2 linked regions of the Saccharomyces cerevisiae S288C genome follow. The protein of the gene in region 1 interacts with the protein of each later gene in a pairwise test. Each region holds a gene or a part of one and is shown in the gene's direction. Other genes may lie near its edges.

Evidence for each region.
Region 2: the proteins of AKR2 (region 1) and YPT35 interact in a two-hybrid assay, tested with the Saccharomyces cerevisiae proteins (2 studies listed by BioGRID).

What each region holds. Positions count from the first base shown.
Region 1 is NC_001147.6:394,337-399,375, reverse strand, and holds AKR2 (putative palmitoyltransferase AKR2), read left to right. Parts: upstream 1-2,289; coding exon 2,290-4,539; downstream 4,540-5,039. Other genes in the region: SHE4 (She4p), read left to right, coding at 1-1,641; YOR034C-A (uncharacterized protein), read left to right, coding at 1,708-1,950; Rad2 family nuclease EXO1, read left to right, coding at 4,852-5,039.
Region 2 is NC_001140.6:322,970-326,130, forward strand, and holds YPT35 (Ypt35p), read left to right. Parts: upstream 1-1,796; coding exon 1,797-2,441; downstream 2,442-3,161. Other genes in the region: SBE22 (Sbe22p), read left to right, coding at 1-3; GRE3 (trifunctional aldehyde reductase/xylose reductase/glucose 1-dehydrogenase (NADP(+))), read left to right, coding at 440-1,423; thioredoxin-disulfide reductase TRR2, read left to right, coding at 2,629-3,161.

The sequences.
Region 1 (5,039 bases):
GAAATATTTTTGACCAAAGGACTAAGTAAGCTTTTTAAGAAGAGAGTATTCGAAGAGCAGGATTTACAGTTTACAAAAGAACTGCTGCGGTTATTATCTTCCGCGTGTATTGATGAGACCATGAGAACGTATATTACAGAAAATTACCTTCAACTATTGGAAAGATCACTAAACGTGGAAGATGTACAAATATATTCTGCATTGGTGTTAGTTAAGACATGGTCTTTCACAAAATTAACGTGTATAAACTTGAAGCAACTGTCCGAAATCTTTATAAACGCTATTTCAAGACGTATCATGCCAAAAATTGAAAATGTCAATGAAAGTGCGGTTAAGCTCGAGGAGGTTCCTAAAGTTGAAATGTCCGTTGAAGCGCTGGCATATTTAAGTCTAAAGGCCTCGGTTAAGATTATGATTAGGAGTAACGAGAGCTTTACTGAAATTCTATTAACTATGATTAAAAGCCAGAAAATGACGCACTGTTTATATGGTCTCTTAGTTATCATGGCAAATTTGTCCACTTTACCAGAGGAATCCAATGGTAGTTCACAGTCTATCAATGACTTAAAAAATTACGCAGATTTGAAGGGCCCAGGCGCAGACAAGGTAGGCGCAGAGAAAGAATCAAAGGAAGATATTCTTTTGTTTAACGAAAAGTACATATTAAGGACCGAGCTGATTTCCTTTTTGAAGAGGGAAATGCACAATTTGAGCCCCAATTGTAAACAACAAGTGGTTAGGGTTATATATAACATAACCCGCTCGAAAAACTTCATTCCTCAATGCATTTCACAAGGTGGTACAACTATCATCTTAGAATATTTGGCCAATAAGCAGGACATAGGGGAGCCAATACGGATTCTAGGGTGTCGGGCATTAACAAGAATGCTAATATTCACTAATCCGGGTTTGATATTTAAAAAATACTCTGCATTAAACGCTATCCCCTTCTTGTTCGAATTGTTGCCAAGGTCTACGCCAGTGGATGACAATCCGTTACATAACGACGAACAAATAAAGCTGACAGACAATTACGAGGCACTATTAGCTCTGACGAACTTGGCATCATCGGAGACCTCTGATGGTGAAGAAGTTTGCAAGCATATCGTATCTACAAAAGTATATTGGTCCACGATTGAGAATCTGATGCTAGACGAAAACGTTCCTTTGCAAAGATCAACATTAGAGCTCATAAGTAATATGATGAGTCATCCATTAACGATTGCTGCTAAGTTCTTTAACTTGGAAAATCCTCAGAGTTTGAGAAATTTTAATATATTGGTGAAACTTCTTCAGTTATCCGACGTTGAGTCTCAACGAGCAGTGGCTGCTATCTTTGCTAACATTGCCACCACGATTCCATTGATAGCTAAGGAACTGTTAACCAAGAAAGAACTAATCGAAAATGCTATTCAGGTATTTGCGGATCAAATTGATGACATTGAGTTAAGACAAAGGTTACTTATGCTTTTTTTTGGATTATTCGAAGTGATACCGGATAATGGCACTAACGAGGTGTATCCGTTGCTGCAAGAAAATCAAAAATTAAAGGATGCTTTAAATATGTCTTTAAAGAGAGGCGATTCAGGACCAGAGTTTTCAGCGGCAATTCCCGTTATCCTTGCTAAAATTAAAGTCTAATATGGAAAGAATCGCCATGTTTAACTCTTCTTAATTTTCACTAAGAAATACAACAGCACCCTGATAATGAACACACAAGAACTATGTAAGATTTTCGTAGCCAGAGAATATCCTCTGGTAGTGGTGCCCTTTATATATTTTGTTCTATTTTTACACCAGAAGTATCACACTACTCTAAATTATGTCTGGTACCCTACGTGTTCTAAAAGAATCTGGGTGAGAGAAAAAGGAAGAAAGTGCTCCTTTTTTTTTTTTTCAAAGGTGCCTCGGTCCGATGGCTTCGCAAACAATAGATGCCAAAGGAAATGATCTTCTCTTTTTCGCTTCTTTATTTTTTTTTAAGTTACGACTTCGTGCAGCCTGGGATGTACCAAGCTTGTTGTTAAACGAGCCTGACTTCTTAATCGCTTAATCTTAGTTGAATTTAGTAGTTCCAGTTTGTATGGCTGCTATTTTTGAGTATTTGGAATCATCTTTCGTTCAGCGATCTTTTTATCATTCACTTTGTCGTTTACAATTAGAAAGCGTCAAAACTTTGCATTTTTCATTTAATAATAACTGAACTCCACCAACTTTTTACTAGCAAGTTGTAAAGTTCATCGGTCAGATAAACATCTTAATTACCTGTGAAATACTCTACTGTTTCTTATGACCAGTATGTCAATTATTGATGATGAGAACGTGAAAAAAACTTCTAATGGGGCAGCTGTTGTCACTGATGTGGCTCAACACGCTGTAAGTGATTCGGACAATAACAAAGCGCAACTTCTAGGCGATGGATCCAACACTGAATATGTGGTTGATATTTTCATTGAAGCCGCTAAGGATGGGGATTTAAAAGTGGTGAAGGACGTGGTCGAAAGTGGAGCAGTGGATATTAATAACGACCGCATTGATGAATTATCCGGCTTACACTGGGCCTGTATAAACAATAGGTTTTCTGTAGCAAAGTTCCTATTACTTAGGGGAGCAAATCCTAACCAGGCGGCAGGCCCCGGAGGGGCTACTGCTTTGCACTGGGCCGCAAGGTACGGTAATATCTACATTGTTGACCTGCTTCTCAAACATGGCGCTGATCCGACGCTCAAAGATGAGCAGGGTCTTAACATCATGCATTTTAGCGTTTACAGTTCTAACATTTTACTTGTTGTTTATGTTCTTTATTTTGTCGTAAACAACAATGACAACGTCGATATCGATTCAAAAGATAACAATAACAGAACACCCCTACTTTGGGCTGCTTATCAAGGAGATTTTCTCACTGTAGAACTTTTATTGAAATTTGGCTCCACAGTTGCATGGACGGACAACAGAGGGTTCAATGCTCTCCATTGTGCTCTAGTTGGAGGTGATCAAAGGGTCATATGTGACTTAATACTTAGCGGTGCAAATTTCTACGAAAGGAATAACCAGAAGCAAGACTGTTTTGATCTAGCCGAAGGAATGGGAACCAAATCACTTTTTGAACAAGCGTTGCAACATCATGGATATGACAGGCTTGGAAATCAGAAAGACAAACTGTTCAAGAAAAGCTCGCATGCACAATTCACAATTTTTTTGTCACCATTTTTACTCATGGTTTACATATACTTAATTTCTCTCGTTCTTTCTCCAGTGCTAGCCATTATGCTTTCCCTACTGGTCACTGTTGTCATGGTCAACACATTAAAGAAGTTTGTATTACCATGCCTTCCCAGAAAAAACACTTACAAAGTTTCTTTGACTAGAACTCCCTTTTTCAGTGGCCTCTTTCTGTCCACTTTCTGTTTTTTAATATATATATGGACGAAGAAACTCTATCCATATAGTGTATCTGACTATACCATGAAAAACGTCCAGTTTTTGGTTACTTCCTTTCTCACAGTTGTACTATTTCTGAGATTAGTACGGTCAGATCCTGGTTGTCTGAAAACGGATGATAGTTTGACTTCGATACAAGAAACAATAAAACAACTGATTGACTTAGGGAAGTTTGATAGGGAAAACTTTTGTGTTGAGACATTAGAAAGGAAGCCTTTGAGGAGTAAATATTCTTTCTTTAGCGGCGCCCTGGTGGCCAGATATGACCATTATTGTCCATGGATTTATAATGATGTTGGCTTAAAAAATCACAAACTTTTTGTCTTCTTTGCTGTGACGGTCCAATATCACATGTTTTTGTTCATGTGGTTATGTCTGGCATATTTTAAGAAAACGAACTATATTTACGAACAAGTTGAAGAATATGCAAGATGTGCCCTGCTCAAGAATGAGACTTTGTGTAAGGGTTCTAATTACGATCCCTCTACCTTTTTTTTATTCATTTGGATTAGCGTAAACTTCATCTGGCTGGGGGCTATGTTGATTGTCCAGTTCTTCCAGATATTAAAAGGAATCACGACTCCTGAATTGTTCATCTTAATCAAGGAGGAGCACAAGGCAAAATTTATCAATCTGATACCCTTCGAAAACTCTATATATACCAGTGAAAGTAAAGGTGTTGAAGATAGTGATATGATTCCTGAAGGTCCAAGTGCGACCACCATTACTCACACAATTTCTATTGATGGTTTGGAACCAAGAAATAGGCGCCGCGCCATTCTTAGCGCTTGCTTTTCAATGATGGGTATTAATCAATGGCTCGTTACTATTAAGGAAATAGTAGGTATAACCCACATTTTGCATGGACAGGTTCCACAACAACATCACAGTTCATTGCTTCGAAGTTTCTTAGTGACAAATCACTGGAAGACGAATTTGACGGATTTTTGGCTTAATAGTGATGTAACAGCGCCCTTGTGGCAACGATTTTTCTATTCTTCGGATACTTCAAAAGCTATGTTGGGTGGAACTGAGGTTGACTACTACGAGCTATACGAATATCCGGCCCGAGAAGGAGAAGTATTACGTCCAAACTAAGTTCGCGTTTTATTTAAATTTTTTTCTTTATAGGGCATTATTTGTACTTTTTTTTCTTACGCGTCTTTAGCAAAGGCGGGAAGTACAATAACTAGTTTTGTGCACAACAAAAATTTGCGTGATTGATAGAAGGCAAAAGGATCTTTCGAGAAATTTGTATTACTGGCCCGTGTAAAAAAACCTTAACAAAAAATATCAGGTCCTTGCTCCTTCAGGTATATCTATATGCTCTCATAGAATTATATTTGATATTGCTTTTTGGACCACATTAAAATAAAAGGAGCTCGAAAAAACTGAAAGGCGTAGAAAGGAATGGGTATCCAAGGTCTTCTTCCTCAGTTAAAGCCCATACAGAATCCAGTATCACTACGTAGGTATGAAGGAGAAGTGTTAGCCATTGATGGCTATGCATGGCTACATAGAGCAGCCTGCTCTTGTGCTTATGAACTTGCAATGGGAAAACCAACTGATAAGTACCTGCAGTTTTTCATAAAAAGATT
Region 2 (3,161 bases), on another chromosome or scaffold:
TGATATTTTTTGTAACTGTAATTTCACTCATGCACAAGAAAAAAAAAACTGGATTAAAAGGGAGCCCAAGGAAAACTCCTCAGCATATATTTAGAAGTCTCCTCAGCATATAGTTGTTTGTTTTCTTTACACATTCACTGTTTAATAAAACTTTTATAATATTTCATTATCGGAACTCTAGATTCTATACTTGTTTCCCAATTGTTGCTGGTAGTAAACGTATACGTCATAAAAGGGAAAAGCCACATGCGGAAGAATTTTATGGAAAAAAAAAAAACCTCGAAGTTACTACTTCTAGGGGGCCTATCAAGTAAATTACTCCTGGTACACTGAAGTATATAAGGGATATAGAAGCAAATAGTTGTCAGTGCAATCCTTCAAGACGATTGGGAAAATACTGTAATATAAATCGTAAAGGAAAATTGGAAATTTTTTAAAGATGTCTTCACTGGTTACTCTTAATAACGGTCTGAAAATGCCCCTAGTCGGCTTAGGGTGCTGGAAAATTGACAAAAAAGTCTGTGCGAATCAAATTTATGAAGCTATCAAATTAGGCTACCGTTTATTCGATGGTGCTTGCGACTACGGCAACGAAAAGGAAGTTGGTGAAGGTATCAGGAAAGCCATCTCCGAAGGTCTTGTTTCTAGAAAGGATATATTTGTTGTTTCAAAGTTATGGAACAATTTTCACCATCCTGATCATGTAAAATTAGCTTTAAAGAAGACCTTAAGCGATATGGGACTTGATTATTTAGACCTGTATTATATTCACTTCCCAATCGCCTTCAAATATGTTCCATTTGAAGAGAAATACCCTCCAGGATTCTATACGGGCGCAGATGACGAGAAGAAAGGTCACATCACCGAAGCACATGTACCAATCATAGATACGTACCGGGCTCTGGAAGAATGTGTTGATGAAGGCTTGATTAAGTCTATTGGTGTTTCCAACTTTCAGGGAAGCTTGATTCAAGATTTATTACGTGGTTGTAGAATCAAGCCCGTGGCTTTGCAAATTGAACACCATCCTTATTTGACTCAAGAACACCTAGTTGAGTTTTGTAAATTACACGATATCCAAGTAGTTGCTTACTCCTCCTTCGGTCCTCAATCATTCATTGAGATGGACTTACAGTTGGCAAAAACCACGCCAACTCTGTTCGAGAATGATGTAATCAAGAAGGTCTCACAAAACCATCCAGGCAGTACCACTTCCCAAGTATTGCTTAGATGGGCAACTCAGAGAGGCATTGCCGTCATTCCAAAATCTTCCAAGAAGGAAAGGTTACTTGGCAACCTAGAAATCGAAAAAAAGTTCACTTTAACGGAGCAAGAATTGAAGGATATTTCTGCACTAAATGCCAACATCAGATTTAATGATCCATGGACCTGGTTGGATGGTAAATTCCCCACTTTTGCCTGATCCAGCCAGTAAAATCCATACTCAACGACGATATGAACAAATTTCCCTCATTCCGATGCTGTATATGTGTATAAATTTTTACATGCTCTTCTGTTTAGACACAGAACAGCTTTAAATAAAATGTTGGATATACTTTTTCTGCCTGTGGTGTCATCCACGCTTTTAATTCATCTCTTGTATGGTTGACAATTTGGCTATTTTTTAACAGAACCCAACGGTAATTGAAATTAAAAGGGAAACGAGTGGGGGCGATGAGTGAGTGATACTAAAATAGACACCAAGAGAGCAAAGCGGTCCCAAAATCATTTGAGTAACCGGATATCTATCGGGATATTAATAGCAGCTTCCATTTCAACTAAAACAACAGCAAGATATGAGCGACAAGATATCCTTTCTACCTCCCGAACCCATCCAACTACTTGACGAAGACTCCACGGAGCCTGAACTCGACATTGACTCACAACAAGAAAATGAGGGACCCATCAGTGCGTCAAACAGCAATGATAGCACTAGCCATAGTAATGATTGCGGTGCCACAATTACCAGAACAAGACCTAGACGAAGCAGTTCTATCAATGCAAACTTTAGTTTTCAAAAGGCTCATGTCAGCGATTGCACCATAGTCAATGGCGACCATGGAACAAAGTTTGCTGTCTGGAGAATTACCGTATTTCTTGAACCCAACTTGAAGGCTTTTGCGGCCAAGAGGGAAAGCTATAAAATCCAAACCTATAAACGATACTCCGATTTCGTCAGATTACGAGAGAATTTGCTCACAAGAATCAAGACAGCGAAACCTGAGAAACTTAACTGTTTGCAGATTCCACACCTTCCCCCTTCAGTGCAGTGGTACAGTTCTTGGAAATATCAAGAAGTGAATCTGAACAAGGACTGGCTGGCAAAAAGACAGAGAGGGCTCGAGTACTTCCTCAATCACATCATCCTTAACAGCAGCCTCGTAGAAATGACCAAAGATATACTCATACAGTTTCTAGAGCCTTCAAAACGAGTTGCATAGCTCACCATCCCTATCCAACCGACTATTCTTCTCATCGACTACTACTATCCCATTTAACTCGGGCGCGTTGTTAATTAATCACTCGATGGGGAATGCCTTGAGCTGACCGCAATGAAAACTTTTAGGGGATCGTCCAACATTAAAGGAAGAACGAAACGGACTCCACAGTTTCTAATATAAATAAACAATGATAAAACATATAGTTTCGCCATTCAGGACGAATTTTGTTGGCATCAGCAAGTCCGTGCTGTCAAGGATGATTCATCACAAGGTTACAATCATAGGTTCTGGCCCCGCTGCCCACACCGCTGCTATATACTTGGCAAGAGCAGAGATGAAGCCCACATTATATGAGGGAATGATGGCCAACGGAATTGCTGCTGGTGGCCAATTGACAACAACCACCGATATCGAAAATTTCCCAGGGTTTCCTGAATCGTTGAGTGGCAGTGAACTGATGGAGAGGATGAGGAAACAATCTGCCAAGTTTGGCACTAACATAATTACCGAGACTGTCTCTAAAGTCGATTTATCTTCAAAACCATTCAGATTATGGACCGAATTTAATGAGGATGCAGAGCCTGTGACCACTGATGCTATAATCTTGGCCACGGGTGCTTCCGCTAAGAGAATGCATTTACCAGGGGAGGAAACCTACTGGCAGCAGGGAATATCTGCCTGTGCTGTATGTGATGGTGCAGTCCCTATCTTTAGAAACAA